Caenorhabditis elegans: one gene and its partner. The protein of the gene in region 1 purifies or fractionates together with the protein of each later gene. This does not show direct contact. Each region holds a gene or a part of one and is shown on either strand. Other genes may lie near its edges.

Region 1 (4,275 bases):
CTCCTAAAAGGTCATAAGACACTGAAAAAATTGTAAAGCAAATAATTATTTTCATCAGTAGACAACCAAATTTACCAAATACTCGATACTTATCGACCCCTGCGACAAGAACAAGTTGGTAAAAATATCAGATTTTAGCGGTTTTTTCAAATAAAAATTGTTGAGAATCATGAGTCATACCCACCTGTAACAGATACGACTACTGTACTACCATTTAAAATTGAAATGTGAAGTTTTTTAGTTGAACCTATAAACCACAACAGTTCCATAAAAGCTGTACTCAAGTCCAGGCTTTTGGTAATACTGGTCTCTTCATCCAGCCACCACTGAAAAAATGGTGTTTTTGTTAACTAAAAAAGGGTACTTCTCTTATATTCACCTCTCCTCCAGAACTCTTTCTGAACCTACCGTACACCATGCCAGTCTTGCCAATTAATGTTTCCATTTCCATATGTATAATTATCCGAGTTTTTCAAAACTACCAATTACCAAATGCTTCCCCTTGGCTATAAAGAAATGAAAGTTAATTAAAATTTGGCAAAACTGACCGCGTCATTTTCACTGTAGGAAGATCACAGTTCAAGAGTCTTCGAGAGCTCATTTGAAATTCACTGTTGAATCAGGCACAAACTTGCTTTGACATGACCGATGTAATGAACCATTAATCGGTTTCTTCAATTGTTCTACATCCCATCTCCATGTCATTTTATTTGTGTGAAAGAGTCCTTTCCCATTAAATAAGTTGGTGAATTGAGCAGGCGTGCTCCTCCTGTCGGTCAGATATCACACGAAGAAAGTTTCGAAAAGATATTATTGAGAGAGAAAGACCGCCAGTATGACAACGAGTGAAAATAGCAAATGTTGTGGTTGATAACGTGTACATAGACACCACTTCCACACACACACACACAAAATATATCCCACCGAAACACCAGTCAAGTGAGAAAGAGATATTCGTGAAGCAACTTGAGAAAATTGCAAATAATCCGTTACTGCATATGGTGATCCCAAATTATAATTAATTAATAGCACCTTTTGATCACTAAATACAGATGTTAACTTTTTAATGTTCACTAAAAGTGACGAAATACAAAATGTTGCTAAATGAAGATTTCAATTTATTCTCGCTGAGAGCACTGTCTTGGAAATCTATTTTCTGAAAAAAAAAAGAGAACAATAGAATCTATTAATGGTTTATTGGAAGGTATATTTGTTAAAATGGAACAAATTATGATTAAATGGGAAGAAAAAACCGGTACCCGGGACACCTTCAAGGAGGAGGTATATTACAATGGTGAGATCGAATTAAATTTGAATTTCACACAGTGTTATTAGGCTTTTGGGGCAGTACCAACGGCCTTCCTGGCAGGAGTCTTCTTTGTAGCAGCTTTCGTGACAGCAGCCTTCTTTGGAGCGGCTTCAGTGGCAGCAGCCTTCTTTGGAGCGGTTTCATTGGCAGCAGACTTCGTTGGAGCGGCGGCTTTCTTAGTGACCTTCTTGACAGCTGGCTTAGCGATCCTCTTCGGTGACTTGACCTTCTTCACCTTGTCTCCGGTCTTTTTGGCGACAGTTTTCTTAGCCTTGTCTCCGCTGACAGCCTTCTTGGCGACGGTCTTCATAACCTTTTGCTCTCCAGTGGCAGCCTTCTTCACTGCTGGTGGCTTCTCGGCAACGGCAAGACGGAATCGTCCGTTGGCTCCGATTCCGTTAGTCTGGACGAGGACCTTGCTGACGACTCCTTTTTTAAGTGCAGAGCGAAGGTGAGCGTTGGTCTGGAATTAAGATGCATTTAGTGAAGGTTGGTTTAATTTTCAGGGGAAAATCTATTAATATTGTCAACGTTTTGGAAGAATTGTTCAAAAATCAGGTTTATATATTTTTTGGAAAAATCGATTCAAAACCACTCTCTTTAAAATAAAATGCATATTTACCTTGTTAACTTGATCTCCAAGCGTGTATTTGGCAGTGATGAACTTGAAAATGGCGACCCTGGATGATCCCTTGCGGTCCTTGAGGTTGCTGACGGCTTCGGTGATCATGTTGATGAATGGCGGATGGGCGGCAACGACCTTCACCTTCGGAATCTTGGTAGCCTTGGCCTTCGTGGCTTTTGAAGCTTTGGTTGGGGTCTTGACTGCTGGAGTCTCGGCAACGGCGACGTCGGACATTGTTAAACGATGAACAAACACTTGAAAAGTGATAGTGAATGATGCGCGAGCGCCACCCTTTTATACTCATCCTCTACCACCCTGTCGGGACACATATCCCGCCCCTTGTTCACCTCCGAATGGCAAATGATGCCAAAATTGGGGGGCCTTGACTAAATCGCATATAATTTGCTCAGTTCTGCATGAAATTCAATTTTCTTTTCAGAAACTTATAGGTGAATAGTCTAGCAACAAATCCAGGCAACACTCGTTAAAATTACTCATGAACTCATATAAATGCAACACCTCAAAGTTCAATTAGATTTTTCAATGTGACATTTGGCATTCGAATCACCATATATCATTGACACCTGCAGTTTTTGACTTTCTGAATTGAGTTTCTGGAAAAAAAAAATTTTTTTCTATTTGAATATAGAAGTCTCATGTACATTTCAACTGAACTTCGAATTTTAATACCTTGATAAAGTTGAAATTACATATGTTATCTGCAATTTTGCTCTCGAATTTCAAAATCTTCAATTCACAGTAATAATAATCGTTGAAAAAACAGCTGTCCCTTTTTTATTTTTTTTATTCTCTCCGGTGATCTCCAGGAAATGTTCACCGTGGAATCTAAAAATTAAAAAACCGATCAAGAATTCGAATTGTTAGTCCTCTGAAACGATACCAAAATGTGCATCTCACTTTACCAATTAGGCGTTTATTACACAAAGTTATACCATATCTAGAATAATAACAGTTTTGGAACAGTTCTCAGTACGAAACTAGACCAATTGGTATAGCAAGAGTTCGATAAACCTAGGGCTAAATGTTGGCGTGGCCAAAAATCTCCTTGCCCAAGATTTCCCCCAATGCCCAAACTTGGGCAAGAATTCGTCGCCAAATGCCAAGTGTGTACTACTTTGCCCATTTGGAAATTGGTAATGCCGGCGATTGGCTTTCAATCAGATCCCTCTATACACATGACTCATCTATGAGTCAACAAGAATATCTAGAAGAAGATCATTTTATTCACAAAAAAAGAAGCAAGTATCCCGTATAAAATGAACAGATTTTAAAATTATGAAATTTCAAATATTATCAGAAATATTTGAAAGAATTATGGCTGGCTGAAAATTAAAAAAAAACCAAAAATAAAAAGATAAATGAATTTGTTTTGGAATTCCCTACACAAATTCCGGTTCAACAGCTTGTTCATGCTGTAAGTTCGTGTATCCAACTGGAACTGAACTCATATGTCTTGTGCGTTCACGGTACTTCTTGTAGAGCCATAGAACTGAAAATTCATGATTTAACAGTAATATTTGTTTTATCAAAAAATAACTTTTATTTTAGTTGGAGCATTTGTAAAAGTTCTCAAAATTGTCTGAAGGTTGTCAATCGCCGAGATAAATTCGACAAAATATCGACATATTTTCTTTCATTTTCCTACTTTCAGGCAATTTAGCATTTTTTTCAACTCTTCCAATAAAAGCTATTTTCAGATAAAATAATTTTTCTATGTTCTATCACCAAATTTTAACAAAAAAAACCATTTTGTACAATTTCCGGAAGGAAACTTCAGCACTTCCTCCGAAAAGCTTTTTTGGCAAATTTCCAAATTTTCGAAAAATCAGAATTCTTAGAGAAATTTAAAGGATTTTGTAGGTTTGTAGGTTTGGATTGTTTAGGTACACAATTTGGTTTTTTGTATTTTGAAATTTTAAGACATCTTAAAATTCCTTTAAAATAAAAACTCGCTTCCAACAGCAATCACAAAAAGAACGAGAAACTGGAAGAATGATGCTTTCCCACGTGGATTCCTTGTAGTTTTGCAATAGTCTCTCGATAGTTCAAAAATGCGTTTGCCTTCCAATTCTGGTGGAGATGCACATTTTGTATCAGCCTGAAAATTGTTTTTTTTAGCATATAATATTGGAATTTCGGAAACAAAAATGGAAAATACCTGATTTAGAAATACGACATCATCCCCGCTAAGCAATCGAATAGTTGCACAATCACAATCAATTGGATTATTTGAAATATCCAAGGATGAAAGAGACGGAAGAAAATCCCAAATATCAGCTGGAATCTGGAAACAAATTGTATTTACTGAAAGTCCATTCAT
Region 2 (5,456 bases), on another chromosome or scaffold:
GCAAGTTTGCCGCACACCCCTGAGCGGAACCCCCGTCACAACTAGAATGGTATATTTGGGGGGTCGACCAAGGACTACAGAAAGTAAAACAATTCAATCACGTATTTGACACGCTGAAGATTTATTTAATTTACTTGTTTTTCTTCCTAAATAATTCATTTCTGAACAATGCCGTCAGTTGTGATAGCTGGTGGAGGTCTTGTTGGATCTGCGAATGCGTGTTTTTTTGGACAGAAGGGATGGATTGTGGATGTCTACGAGTCGCGTTTTGATCCACGTGGAAACCATATGGAAAATGGAAAAAGTATTAATTTGGCATTAGGCGTTCGTGCAATGAGTACAATGAAGAGAATTGGTCTGAAGGAAAAAGTTATTCATATTGGTGTGCCAATTCGAGATCAAATTGCTCATTTTGGGGACACAAAAGGAAAACTGAAGAGACTACCTGTTCTCAATGATGACGATGTAAGTAGAAGTTCAAGAGTACACATCATTGCTTAACTTATATTTATGAATTTTCGTCGTTTTTATTTTGTAATATCTGAAAATTAACCGAAATATGAGGTGTCAAAATGTAATGCACAGTGTCAATGAGCTAATAGAGAATTTTTTATCGAAAACAATTAATTTAAACTATTTTAGTTCATTCTCACAATAAATCGTCAAGAACTGAGCCAAATATTGATCAACGAAGCGGAAAAATATAATAATGTTAAGTGAGTTCAACATCACAATTAATTAAGCAAACAGATTTTACAATTACAGATTTCATTTCAATTGTAAAGCAACCAAATTTGACTTGAAAAGTGAATCTCTGATTGTACAGAATTCGGATAATTTGAGTACTGTAGATGGTGATCTGTTTCTGGCTTGTGATGGAGCACACTCTTCAATTAGAAGAAGCCTTCTCAAGGCTCCAGGTTTCAATTTCAGTCAAAAGTATTCGGAATTCGGTTATATTGATCTGAGTGTAAATTCTACACAACAATGTGATCTAAAATTGGGAACACATTATTCCTGGAGAAGAAGAGGTATTATCCTTGTTGCCATTGTAAATAAAGATCAGTCATTGACTGGTAAGACTTATATTGGAATTATATCTATCTAAAGTCAAAATTTTCAGTTTCGATGTTCGCCACGTTCTCAGAGTTCGAGTCTAATTTGGTTGGTCCCGTAGAATCTGTTTTGTTTTTTAAGAACAATTTTTATGAAATCTTCAAGATTCTTGGAGAGTGAGTGGCTTCATTTTTCCTTGTTGTTTTCGAACGAATATTATTCTAGAGATCACATCAGAAACACAATTGCCAGAAACAAACCGCAGGCAATTATAAGTGTTCAATGCTCACAGCACGTCTTCTTCGACAAATTGGTATTGATGGGCGATGCAGCACATGCAATGGTTCCATTCAATGGTCAAGGTGTCAATTGTGGATTTGAGGATTGCCTTGTGTTGCAGGAAATTATGGATCAATATGAGGAAGATGAATTGGAAGATGTTATCAAAGAGTATTCAAAAGTTAGAACAAATGAGACGAATATCATTAATCAAATGGAATGGGATGTCAATTTAACGGTTAGATTTCTACATTTTATATTTCTTCGGGTGCTCATCTTGTAAGTAAGATTCTTGATTCTATATTGATAAGTGTCAAAATTCTACGAAAACATAAATACACAGTTCTGAAACATAATACTTTTACTATAGCGAGATTTCATGTTACTTGATAATTTTTGTTACAGCTCACGAGTTCCGTCCATGGCAGCCTGGGATGGATTCGAGAAATACGTGCACACATAAAACTATTGTTATGCTTCATTTTCCCATCATCGTTCACATTGGCAGCCTTCTCTCGGGAGAAATACTCTGAAATTGCCAGAAAAGCACAGATCGTCGAGAAGTGCACATCCTTATTCACAAACGTTTTCATTGTTTTCATAATTTCTGTCATTAGCCTCTTTTGGTATTGTGTGTTGGCAGTTTTATGGGCGAATTGACACCAAGATATACTCTACAGTACTCGGATACTGTAGAGGAAATCTTCAAGCATACTGTCTGCAATGTGCCGTCGTTTCTGGTGTTTGCGTCCAAGAAGTCTCGTGATTTAAAAACAAGTACCGATATTTTAAAAACGATTTTCTTTGCTGAATAAATATATTTATAAATACTGTTTTTCAGACATTTATTGAATTAAAATCCGTTTTTTCCTTAAATTTATGAAATTCCCCAATACGAACTATGTATTCTCTCGTTGCTCACTATGAAACCCACTTGAATGTTCCACCTTGCCCACCGAAATCGATTTTTTTTTTAATTTTTTTTACATCAGTGCAAACATTAACAGCTGTCTAGTGCACACTCAGACCGGTCGGTTCTGCTGCTATGCAGTAATATCTGTTTGCTCACCGATCATCAGTTTTATTATTTTCAAAAAAGAAACAGCATTTAAAACGGGAATTTGTTTTTTTCAACGTATAGGCCAAACACTGAATAATTTGGTTTTGTTATAATTGCTCTTCTACGCTGTGAGTCATCAATCGATAACCGCTCCGCAACCGCAATTGCCGTTCGTACTCTGCCACGCGACTTTCCCATCTGCTCTTCTTCTCTCACTCTCTTTCCCCCTCACTCTCTCTCTCACATTTTCGTTCATTCTATTCACCATCTTGTTACACTCATATCGTCTTATATTTTTCATTGTCTGTTCTTTTCTTTCTAAAAACAGTTTATTTTCAGTTTTATCCGCATTCTTCATATCGTTCATCGAAATGGCTGAAAAAATCAACATGTCTCTGGATGAAATCATCAAGCATGGCCAGAAAAAAGTGAAGTCCGAGCGAGTATCTGCACCAGCAGGAGCATCTACTAGCAACAAAGCTGGAAACAAACCCGTGAGTTTTAAAATAAAATAAGCAACTTTTAAGAATAAATAATTTTTATAGACTCGCCCAGGAAATGCCGGAAGAAACAACCGCAGAGTCCCACCAAGAAAGAGTGCTCAAGTTGTTTTGGCGAACAAGGTTTTGAAGAAATCGAAAGCAATTGCTGCTCGTCGTGCAGCTGGAGGTCAAAAACGCGTTTTCGGTGCCCGTGGAAAACCTGCTGCGGCTGCAGGATTGAGCGCTGTTGCCACCAAGAAGCTGGTTAATAAGCTCGTCAAGGTAAATCTTGTTTATATAATTCATTCTAATAAACCATCACATTACAGAATGCCCTTCGCAAAAGAACCAATATCACGACTGTTCCAGTCGTTCGTAAGCGTGGAGTACGTTTTTACCAGATTTTGTTCTATAGTTGAATATCGAGCTTTGAAAAATGGATTCTTGAAGTGAAATCTGGATACCACACGCATTAAGCGTTGTAGTAAAAGGCTAAAAATCAGGTCGAGAGTTTGATTTATTCCTCTCGTGTCGCGATAGAACCTAGACGTTCTTCGTGTTTTTTGAAACCGCGATGAATAGTTGGAAATACGATCATCCACTATTGAAAACCTGATAGAAAGCCAGGCTTCTGCCAAAAAATCAGAACAGATGGTCTCAATTTGTGTGAAGTTCCTTCCGGAGAGACAGACAGCAACTTCTCCTCAGCTTCTTCAGCGTGTCGAGAGTTCTTCCAATCTTTCACGGAGGTAAGGTAAATGATTTCAGGGTGTTGCTGCTTCAACTCTTGCCGCCAGACGAAATTTTGCATTGAAACGAAATGTCACTGCTGCCCAAGTGATTCAACCTGTGAGAACAATCATCCAACAGAGACCAATAACGGCTCCTGTTCGTACTATCGTACAGCATGTTCGTCAAGCTCCAGTCAAAGTTGTTCGCCAAATCATCACTGCTCCTGTGCAATCTCAAGTGATTCGTAGAGCACCGCAACAACAAGTTCGTCAGAACCGTCCACAGCAGAGACGCAATGTGATTATTCAATCACAGCAATCGAGAAGATTCCGTCCAACAAACAACAACAATAATAATCGTCCAACAGTCATTCGTCGTCAAGTCGTTCAACAAGTTCCAAGACGCGCTCAAGTTCAAAGACCACAGGTAAAAATTCATTATTATTCAGTATCCAGTGTCAGAATTATATTGTTCGTTTTCAGTATGAGCAGGTCGTGCAAAGAGTAATCCAGACTCCAGTGGCTCAGCAACGTTTCCAACGCCAGCCACAACGCTTCCAGCAACAGCAACCTCGTTTCCAGCAACAACCCCCGCGCTTCCAGAGACAGCAGCAGCCACAACAACAGCAAGTTGTGAGAAGCGTCAGATATGTGAATGCAAGACCACCTGTTCAGAGAAACAATGTTGTTCGTCAAGTGAGTATTCAAACTTTTATTTGCTAGAATTGAATTAAAGATTATGATTGAGTTTTACAATACTAGCCACCAATTGGATTAATATTATGAAACATAAATCTTAGGAATCTGTGGTGACCAATATATTGGTTTTTCAGGTTCAGCCAGTTCAATATCGTCCAGTCCAATACGTCACTGATCAGGTTGTCAACTCTCGTGGTCGTGGATTCCGTGCCTTCTAATTTCATCAACTCGTACACAATCAAGGATACTCAGAAGCTGCGTAGTTGTCTACACACCTTGCTTCATTTTATAAATTTATAATTCCTTCTTCCATAAACACCATGTTTAATAAAATACTCCGCCATACTCATTCTATTCACATCCAACAATAAACATGTTGCGTGTCTATCGAAATTAGTTACTTCTCTTATGTCTACAATAAGTTCAGTTGGATTTATTTCAACATTTCAGATGACATCCCGTAACAGGGTGCGAACAAGTTCTAATAGGTAAGAGACTAAATATCACTTGACTTCTCGGAAATAATATTTTTCAGTCTGGATCCAAATGAAGATCCTGTGTCGGGGCTAGAACGAGTCATGTCAAACTCGAATCTAGAACACGTTGCTCGGCAAAGAAGACGACTAGTGCGGGCAAAAACCAGCAATTTTTTCTGAAAATCAAGTTATTTCAGGAGGAAGAGCTGTTATTCTCAAGGCAATTGGATGATGTTGGTCGAACGGATAGCCATGAAGCATTGTCTGCTAGATACGAAAGTCTGAACTATGAAATATCTGAGAATCGACTCTATAGAGATGCTGAAAAGAAACCATCTCACCAGGTTTTGAGATTTCATAGATACAGTAACAATGTCACTTTTCAGTTAACTCTTTGGCGAATTTCTCGAAATCGTTGGTTTGTATGCTTTTTGATTGGAGTTTTCACTGGACTCGTCGCTGCATTTATTGATATTATGGTACACTACAGTAAAGATATCAAATTTAACTGGATTCTCAAATATTGTCAGTTATACTTATCTAACTAATCTATTGAAAACGAAACATTCAGTGCTCTCAAAGTGTGGCGAAGAGCAACGTGGAACGACTGCAGGGTGTATGTGGACCGTAATGATAGCTTGGATAGGATATAATTGTGTTCTCGTAACTATAG

What was found. Proteins that work in one complex are often made in the same cells at the same time.
Region 2: the proteins of hil-5 (region 1) and pqn-53 fractionate together in Caenorhabditis elegans (co-fractionation; one large-scale study listed by BioGRID). This does not show direct contact.

Annotation. Positions count from the first base shown.
Region 1 is NC_003279.8:5,772,514-5,776,788, reverse strand, and holds hil-5 (Histone H1.5), read right to left. Parts: upstream 2,205-4,275; 5' UTR 2,169-2,204; coding exon 1,932-2,168; intron 1,773-1,931; coding exon 1,332-1,772; 3' UTR 1,179-1,331; downstream 1-1,178. Other genes in the region: lron-8 (LRRCT domain-containing protein), read right to left, coding at 3,335-3,444, 3,909-4,053, 4,114-4,239. UniProt on the Caenorhabditis elegans protein: Histones H1 are necessary for the condensation of nucleosome chains into higher-order structures.
Region 2 is NC_003283.11:12,062,670-12,068,125, reverse strand, and holds pqn-53 (Prion-like-(Q/N-rich)-domain-bearing protein), read left to right. Parts: upstream 1-2,734; 5' UTR 2,735-2,766; coding exon 2,767-2,889; intron 2,890-2,940; coding exon 2,941-3,159; intron 3,160-3,206; coding exon 3,207-3,263; exon of another isoform or gene 3,264-3,645; coding exon 3,646-4,035; intron 4,036-4,091; coding exon 4,092-4,304; intron 4,305-4,441; coding exon 4,442-4,525; 3' UTR 4,526-4,694; downstream 4,695-5,456. Other genes in the region: kmo-2 (FAD-binding domain-containing protein), read left to right, coding at 169-465, 643-716, 766-1,076, 1,124-1,232, 1,282-1,573, 1,741-1,995; clh-6 (Chloride channel protein), read left to right, coding at 4,758-4,795, 4,843-4,933, 4,981-5,127, 5,170-5,308, 5,355-5,456.